Coturnix japonica: one gene and its partner. The protein of the gene in region 2 binds, or shares a complex with, the protein of the main gene of each other region. Links are inferred from orthologs where the notes say so. Each region holds a gene or a part of one and is shown on either strand. Other genes may lie near its edges. The genes, in order: B9D1 and TMEM237.

What was found.
Region 1: TMEM237 (region 2) and B9D1 share a complex: the UniProt entries of both Homo sapiens proteins name them as parts of the tectonic-like complex. The link is inferred for Coturnix japonica from reciprocal best matches to the Homo sapiens genes TMEM237 and B9D1.

The regions. Positions count from the first base shown.
Region 1 is NC_029529.1:5,249,543-5,253,824, reverse strand, and holds the start of B9D1 (B9 domain-containing protein 1), read left to right. Parts: upstream 1-1,350; 5' UTR 1,351-3,291; coding exon 3,292-3,378; intron 3,379-3,471; coding exon 3,472-3,540; intron 3,541-4,269; coding exon 4,270-4,282. Other genes in the region: CACNA1H (voltage-dependent T-type calcium channel subunit alpha-1H), read left to right, coding at 1-987. UniProt on the Homo sapiens protein: Component of the tectonic-like complex, a complex localized at the transition zone of primary cilia and acting as a barrier that prevents diffusion of transmembrane proteins between the cilia and plasma membranes.
Region 2 is NC_029522.1:9,988,023-9,991,910, forward strand, and holds the end of TMEM237 (transmembrane protein 237), read right to left. Parts: intron 3,726-3,888; coding exon 3,604-3,725; intron 2,682-3,603; coding exon 2,614-2,681; 3' UTR 606-2,613; downstream 1-605. UniProt on the Homo sapiens protein: Component of the transition zone in primary cilia. Required for ciliogenesis.

The DNA of each region.
Region 1 (4,282 bases), on a different chromosome or scaffold from region 2:
CCTCTCCACCCTGCAGCCTCCTCCCTGCCAGCCTCCCCTCCACGCTCCCCACCAACCTCCCCACACCGGCACCCATCACTGACTCAGAAACACCCCTGCAGCCAGCGCGGGGTCCCCAGTCCCACCGAGAGCCCCCCAACCCCCCAGGGCTGCCTCCTGGAGCCCTCCGACTTGGCTGACGAGGAGGTTCGCCACATTAACAGCTCAGCCAAAGACTGGGGGGAGCACTCGGAGGCTGGGAGCTGCTCCACATCACCATTCGTCTCGCCGGCCACATCGCCGGTGCCCCTGAAGAATTGCAGCACAAGCAGCCTGGTGGCAGGCAGCGGCAAGGAGAGGGACTTGAAGAAGTTTTACAGCATTGATACAAAGGGCTTCCTCACCAAGCCCAGCTGGGCGGATGACCAAAGGCGACACTCCATCGAGATCTGCCCCTCCGTCCGCGATGGGGACTGTGGCTTCGAGGAGCGCACCGAGGAAAAGCCGCGCTCCCCTGCCCACATCCAACCGGAGTCCGAGTACATCCATGGAGCCAGGAGGAAGAAGAAGATGAGCCCGCCCTGTATTTCTATAGATCCTCCCATGGAGGATGATGGCGGGGCGGCCTCACGCACCAAACCCTCTGAGAACAGCATGCTGCGCCGCAGGACCCCATCCTGCGAGTTCCCAGCATATCGAGAGCCCCTGGAGCCAGCGGAGGCGCAGCCAGGGGAGCCGGGCTGCAAAGCAGAGCGCCGTGCACAGCACTTGGCCATCCCCGGCTTCTCCTTCGAGCAGTCGGATGGCGGCTCCCTGAGCAGCCTCTCGGATCTGCTGGACAGTGGGCGATCCACACCGGACTGCGAACTGAGAAAGCCGGAGCCTTTAAAAACTCAACGGAGCAACAGTGAGAAAAGCAAAGAGCTGCTCAGCGTGGCCAAGAGCCCCGTCCGGATGCAGGACTTGGTGACTGTTGCGACAGAAGAAGACATCGACGAGCCCGTATAGCTGTCTGGGAGGGGGGTGCGGGGGGTCTCAAGGGCTTGACACCGACATGGGGTTGGACACCGAAGGGGCTGCGCGGCCGCGTGGCCACACTCTGGTTTTTCCCTTTCAAGCAGTCCCTTCTTCTTAAGCGCTGTGGAGGTTTGCAAAAAAACAAAAACAAAAACAAAAAACATTAAAAAAAAAAGAAAAAAGAAGAAAAATATTATTATTATTAATTATTATTATTATTATTTAAGAAGAAACCAAACAAACGGATGAAACGGTGCCGGGTTTCAGGGTGGGGGTTCAGAGGGGGCAAAGTGGATGTGGTCGGGGGGGGGGTGGCTCTCAGTCCTCTGCGCCCTCGGTCACATTGATCCGGGTGGAGGCGGATGGGGGCTGAGGGTTCTCTTTGTCGTTGGGGTGGGGGGTAAGGGGGCTCTTTTTGTTGTTGTTGTTTTGTTGTTGTTGTTTTGTTTTTAAAGATGCTCAACTTTTTACAAGGCACTTTTAGAGACGTCACACGCCGTGGGAGCGCCCTGGGGAATGGGAGCTGTACGTTGTCTGTATATCAGCAATTATATACATAGAAACGATGTACTTGTGAGATACAAAACGAGGAGAAAAGAGAAAAAAAAAATAGAAAAAAAAAGAAAAAAAAAAAAAACAAGAAAAAATACTCACAAAAAACTTCTTCTTCTTCTTCATAATGCACATATTTTTATAGAGAAACAATACTGGTTTTTTGCATTACGTGTGACTCCGCGACCGGGTGGTGTTTCTTTGGGTTTTATGTGGAACTGATTCTTACAGCCCTTCATTGTCCAAATGTTTCTGCTCTTCCTTTGCTCTCCTTTCCCCCCTATACCGCCACCATCAGCCCACAGCTCCTCCTTCCGCCGCCCCTTTCATTTTCCCTTTGTACTTTAGAGGTTGTGTCCTAACCAACAGCAAGGAACCAAATCACTACTGAATTGTAGCCAGTGCAATAATAAGTTATTCATTCTTCTCGTCTGTACAATGATCCTTTCGCTCGTTTTCTTTTTCTTCCTCCTTTTTTAACAGAAATTCAGGTTAAACGCTGCAATAATCTGAAGTACCGCGCACAAACGAGGTGTCCCACATTGCACAAACAAACAACAAACAGAGGCGAAACAATAAAAGGGAAAAATTTCAATCTGAAGAGATTCACAGAATAAATAGTGAATTATTTAAGACATGTATTTTGTTGCCTGCAGTTTGAAGTAGGTTGTTGGTGCAGTACGTCGAGGTGCAAAGAGCTGTTGGTGGCGGTCCATGTGAGCAGGCTGGGATCTGTTCTCCTCCTGGCTGTGAGGTCGCAATGGTGGCCATAACCCCTTCCATTCTTAGAGTGGTAATCAGCTCCAGTGAGGCTGGGAAAGGCCCCTCGGATCCCCAACCCAACCCCATCCCACTGTGACACCAAACCACGTCCCCCTGTTGTTCTGAACACCCCCAGGGTGGTGAACCCATCCCTGGGCAGCACTGCCAGCATCAGCGCTATCTCAGAGGAGGAATTATTCCTAATATCCAACCTGAACCCACACCCACATAGACGTTCCTCCACCACATTCCAGAGCCTTTTAAGTTCAAGTGAACACCGTTTTAATATATTTTAATATACATTTATTTAGTTTTGGGGGTTGATTTTCCATTCGTAGCCTCTATTCCCTGCTCCTTCCCCACTCCTCAGCCAGACCCTCTGCTCGGATCAGCTTCACCACAGAGCACTGACACCATGAGCATCATCAGCCCCAGCACTGCAACACCAGCAGCAAAAAGACACATTGGGGAGGGGAAAAACTATCAACCAACCAACAGAAAGAACTAAAGCAACCGTTCTCCTTTGGTTCGTTCCATGCCGCCTCATATTTATGCATCCACGTATATCTTCTGTTGTTTATGCATTCATTACTCGAAAGGAAATGTATCTTGTTTCACATGTATTAAACTGTATAAACTGGAAGCCTGGCTTGACTTTGTGAGCATCCCCAGGGACCTGCCTGCTCTGTGCAATCAGCAGCCAGGGGGGGATTATTGCAGTTATTCCTTCCCGTTGGTTTAATGAGGGATTCTGGAAAAGCACCATTAATTACCCAACATAACGAGGGGTGGGCGCCTCAGAGACCCCCGACCCGAAGCTTTTCTCCCCCCTGACAGCCCTGTCTCGATCTCCTTGCATTGCAGCATCACCTAGCGGCCATTTCCCGTGCTCTTTAGAAAGAGCCGCCCGAATTTGAGGGGGGGGGGTCTCCGAGGCCCCTCCCCGCATAGTTTGTCCCTTCCGCCGCTCCGTCCGTCCTCATGGCAACGGCCACCGGCAAGATGGCGGCCGCCAGCAGCCCCAGCGTCTTCATGGTGGCCGTCAACGGGCAGATCGAGAGCGGGCAGGTGAGGCCTTGTTCGGTCCTCGGTCCCGTAACCCATCTCCGGTCTGTGCCGTGTGGGCCGGGCCCGGCCCCGTTAACAGCCTCTCCATTGCAGTTCCCTGGGTTCGACGACCTCTACTGCAAGTTCTGCTTCGTCTACGGCCAGGACTGGGTTCCCGCAGCGGTGAGACCTCGTTTTGTGCCCCCGGCAGCACCGGGCTCACACCGAGCTCACACCGGGCTCACACCGGGCTCACACCGAGCTCACACCGGCTCCACACTCGGGCTGACACGAGCTCAAACCGAGCTCCACACTGAGCTCACCACCTAGCTCCACCTGCTCACCACCGGGTCACCACCGAAGCTCACACCGGGAGTCACACTGAGCGTGCACCACCGCAGCTCACAACTGACTGCTCACACCGAGCTCACACCTTCTCACACCGGCTCAACAGCGAAGCTCACACCGGCTCACACCGGGCTCACACCGAGCTCGACACCGGCTCACACCGAGCTCACACCGAGCTCACACCGGGCTCACACCGAGCTCACACCGGCTCACACCGAGCTCACACCGAGCTCACACCGGGCTCACACCGAGCTCACACCGAGCTCACACCGGGCTCATCACGGGCTCACACCGAGCGCACACCGCTCACACGGCTCACACGGGCCTCACACACCGAGCTCACACCGGGCTCCACACCGGGCTCACACCAGCTCACACCCGGGCTCACAACCATCTCACACGAGCTCACACCGAGCTCACACCGGGCTCAACCGACTCACACCGGCTCACACGAGCTCACATCGGGTCACACCGATCTGCACAACGCTCACACCGAGCTCACACCGGGCTCACACCGGGCTCACACCGAGCTCACACCGGGCTCACGGCGCTGTGTCCCCGCAGGGCCTGGAGGAGG
Region 2 (3,888 bases):
AATGACAGGCGGTACTTAATGGCCGCCCCGCCTCCCTCAGGCACAGCCAAGATGGCGGCCGTGTGGTTGCACCGGCCGTTAGGCGGGAAGGGGGATGATGGCGGGCCGCTGTCAGGCTGCGTCCCACAGGGCATCCACGGAACTGCGCTGCACTACATCGCTGAATCATGGCGCTGGGAGGGCCCCTGAAACGCCTTGTGGTCCAACACCCTGCAATGAACAGGGACATACGCCAGATGAAGGTGCTTGCAGCCCCGTGCAGTCTGACCTTGAGCGTCTCCAGGGACGCGGCAGCTGTGCTACCTGTGCCACTGCCTCACTGCCATCATTATAAACACTCCTTCCTTAAGTCCAGCCTAAGCAGCCGGAATGCTCCTGAAGCAATCCAGACCTCAGAAAGCACAGAGCAGTGAGCATACTCGCTGGTTACTGGGGTTTTACAGAGCTATTTCTGAGTGCAGAAGGCCAGAACAGTGGCAGGAGCCTGCTGGTGGAAAGAAAAGACAGCCATTACTTACAGCAGTAATGGAAACACACACAGAAAGCAATGTTTTCCCACAGCATCTGCTCAGAGTTTGTATACAGTAACAAAGTTAGCACTGAGGAAAAAACAAGTTAGACTGTTTTATTTTAAACAAACTAAACAATCGGAAACAGTTCAAAGTAGTACAAGCTAATATTCATTCAGACCACTTCCTCACCTGTTTCAGATACTTAAAAATTGGCACTAACTTCTCTGCAAATTTTTCTTGGACACAAAATACTGTATCAAAAACCATTGTAAATGCACAAAGACATTTCAATTAAGGCTTCTACATATGCCACATGTTCTGCAATTAAACATCTATTCTGTAAACTTTAAGATGTTCTAAAATTACACACACACACACATACAAAAAGCAGTTAAATTCCATTGTGATGCTTAATGGAATGAAAACTACCTTGTAAAAGAGGTAATAAGCCATGAAATTGTTTATCTGTGATTTTGAATGGCAATCCTCAAACCTCTTTCATTCATTTAGGTTTATATATTCTGGTGCTCAAAAAAAAGGTACAAACTAGGAAGGCAAGTATGGCTTGAACTACTGATTCCATTAAGTCCAAAAACTTCATCACTGCTCAACCATGTAAGCCAACTATTTTCACAATGAGAGCAAATCTGGTTCCTGGCTGGCACTGCTTCATTTGTGGGATACTTAGAAGGCCAGTTCCTAGGAATAATTTCAGAAATGAAATCAAGCAGTGATGTCCTTCATGTTTATATTGACTGAATGCCTTTGCACGGTTGTGTTTAACCTCTGTACCTTATGAGAGAAGTTATACTTTTTATCACATGCCAAGATGACAGAAGCATGAAATGGCAAATACAATCCATTAATAATCTCATATTCAGGAGCTCAGCAATTCTGTAAACCAAACACACGACACTCAAAGAAACTGTGATGTGCATTTCCTGCTTTGCAAGGAAATTCCTGTGTGGAAACCTATGTGGGAACACTACGTCGTGGCCTGAGCTCCCATCTCCTACAGCAAATCACAAGGACCTCTGATGTAACACTGATGGAGAGTAGCATCCTGAATCTCTTTGTTATAATGTACAATGCAGCACCAGCTGTAATTGAGCTCCACAGTTTTACAAGAACACATACACATCATAACAACCGACTAAAAAGTTAAAGAGTTCCTTCCCACAACCAAGTGGATGCCCTAAAGTAGAACCAGCAGCTATGGAAAATCTTTCAAGTCCAGAATAACTTCTTTTCCCCCTCTCTAGAATTATGTAATTACTTACTTTCTAGAATTACTGAAATTTGTTAAATAAGCACACTAGAACCCTTGACAAGGCAGAAGCTGCCCTAGTTATTCATGTTCCCATTCTTGTTTTAAACCAACTTAGGCAGCAGTACAGAAACTTACTACCTCTTTAACATCTCCCTTTCACTCTTCCATCTGGCTAAACTCTCCATCACTTTTATAACACATTAACCTCCAGGGATCTTTGACACTGCACTCCTGTTAAAACCACCTTCAGATATATTAAATAAAATAATGCAAAACTCAGTACATACTAAATAAAACGTAAAACTAGTCCTGTGTGATACCTGCATGAGAAATGGATTTCAGACTAGCTCTTGCCTATGTCTGCTAAGGAGACTGCAAGACGTCTGCATTTACTTACTTAAACTGCTTTCTTCCTATGATTTGTTTTCATCTCTATGGAATATCTTAGAAAAAGGATATACCTCAACTGCTATCAGTATCAGTAACAAAACATAGATTGATGATGACAATATCGCACTGCTGTCAAAAAAGCACTGAATAGCAGATCTTCAGCACTCACCCATTTCCTCTGGCTGTGTAGGTAGCAATGTTTACAAAAGTGAACATTGACTTTATGTACTAAAGATAATCTCCTTTACAAAACAAAAAGGAGATATATAAAAGATTTCAGACATTTGAATATTTAAAAATTGGCATACATAAAAGACCCATGAAATATATACAATATAAAAATACTTTTTTTTTTTTTTTCCTTTATGAAAGTTATAATACATGGTTAAAATACAGAAAGTGTTGAGCCATCAGTTACAGCTACGAGGTGCATGTTCCGCACTATGGCTGGACCCTGGGTATGATAACTCCCTGGGGAAATTCCTCAATTTCAGTATGAAACATCAGTTCTGAAAGAAAGAGAAAAGGACACTGGTTTTATCGAACAAGTTTCACCTAAATACTATTTCATTATACCAAAAAAGATCTCTGGAATTTCCCCAAGCCTCCTGCTTTTCTTCGTAGCCCTTGTTTCAGTAATGGGAACACTCACCACTGTCTTTAGTAAAACTATAGTTGTTCCCCTAGGTTAACACAACTAGCACTGACATTAGCAGCTGCTTATAGGAAGTAGACTTCAGCCTGGACACTTGAATTTGTATTTTAAAGTAGACTGATGGGTTGTTCCAGTTTTGAATGTGTCAGAACCAAGACTGAAGATTTCCATTTAGAGACCTGATAATTTGCTGTCTGCCAACAATTTGCGGCAAAATTACACAATCTGTATGTGCAGCACTGTTTTTTTTTCCACTCAAGTTGGAAATCACACACTTCTTTTTGTTTTGCCATTCCATTATAATTTCTTTACTACTTGGGATAAATCCAAACAGAAATTTTCTCTTGAAATTGCTAAAGCATATTATGTAATTTTAGTTGACATCTGAAAATATCTAAAATCTCATCAAAACCTGGGCTATATCACACCTCTGTCTTCCTTGAATAAGCCTTTTACTACTTAAGAATGACTTGCAATTATAATTTAGACACCTACTGTAAGTTTTACTTTCAGTAATTGTAAAAGCTGCCAACTAATTATGTGTTTTAAGCTAAATGAGTTATTAGAATTAAGCAGGATAAACTGGTAGCAGCTGAAATATAGAAAGCTGTGAATTAACATTCTAGAGAAATCTGAAGAAGCACATTTAACCTTTGTCCTCCCAGACACAAATCTGTTCCTCATAACATTTCTCAGGACTACACTTGAGCACCCAATGCAGACCGCAGTAGATACAAGTCTGAACAAATAAGGTTTTGCCAGTTAACATTTCCTACCTTCACTGTGGTCCAGCTCTGGTCGGTAAGACAAGAAGATCCAACTTGCCCCAACCAGAATAGATACTACCAGATTCACCACAATCCATGGCTGAATAATTTCTTCCTCCATACCTGCAGTCCTGGGAAAAGCACATCAACCAATTAGTCAGGGTACACACCAGTATGCACATATTTACAGTAATAGCTTCAGCAGAATATCATAAAAAAAACAAAAATCTTGCTAAGTCAGATGCAGAAATATCACTATTATCATAATGGTCTTGCTTTACAAAGATCCGATAA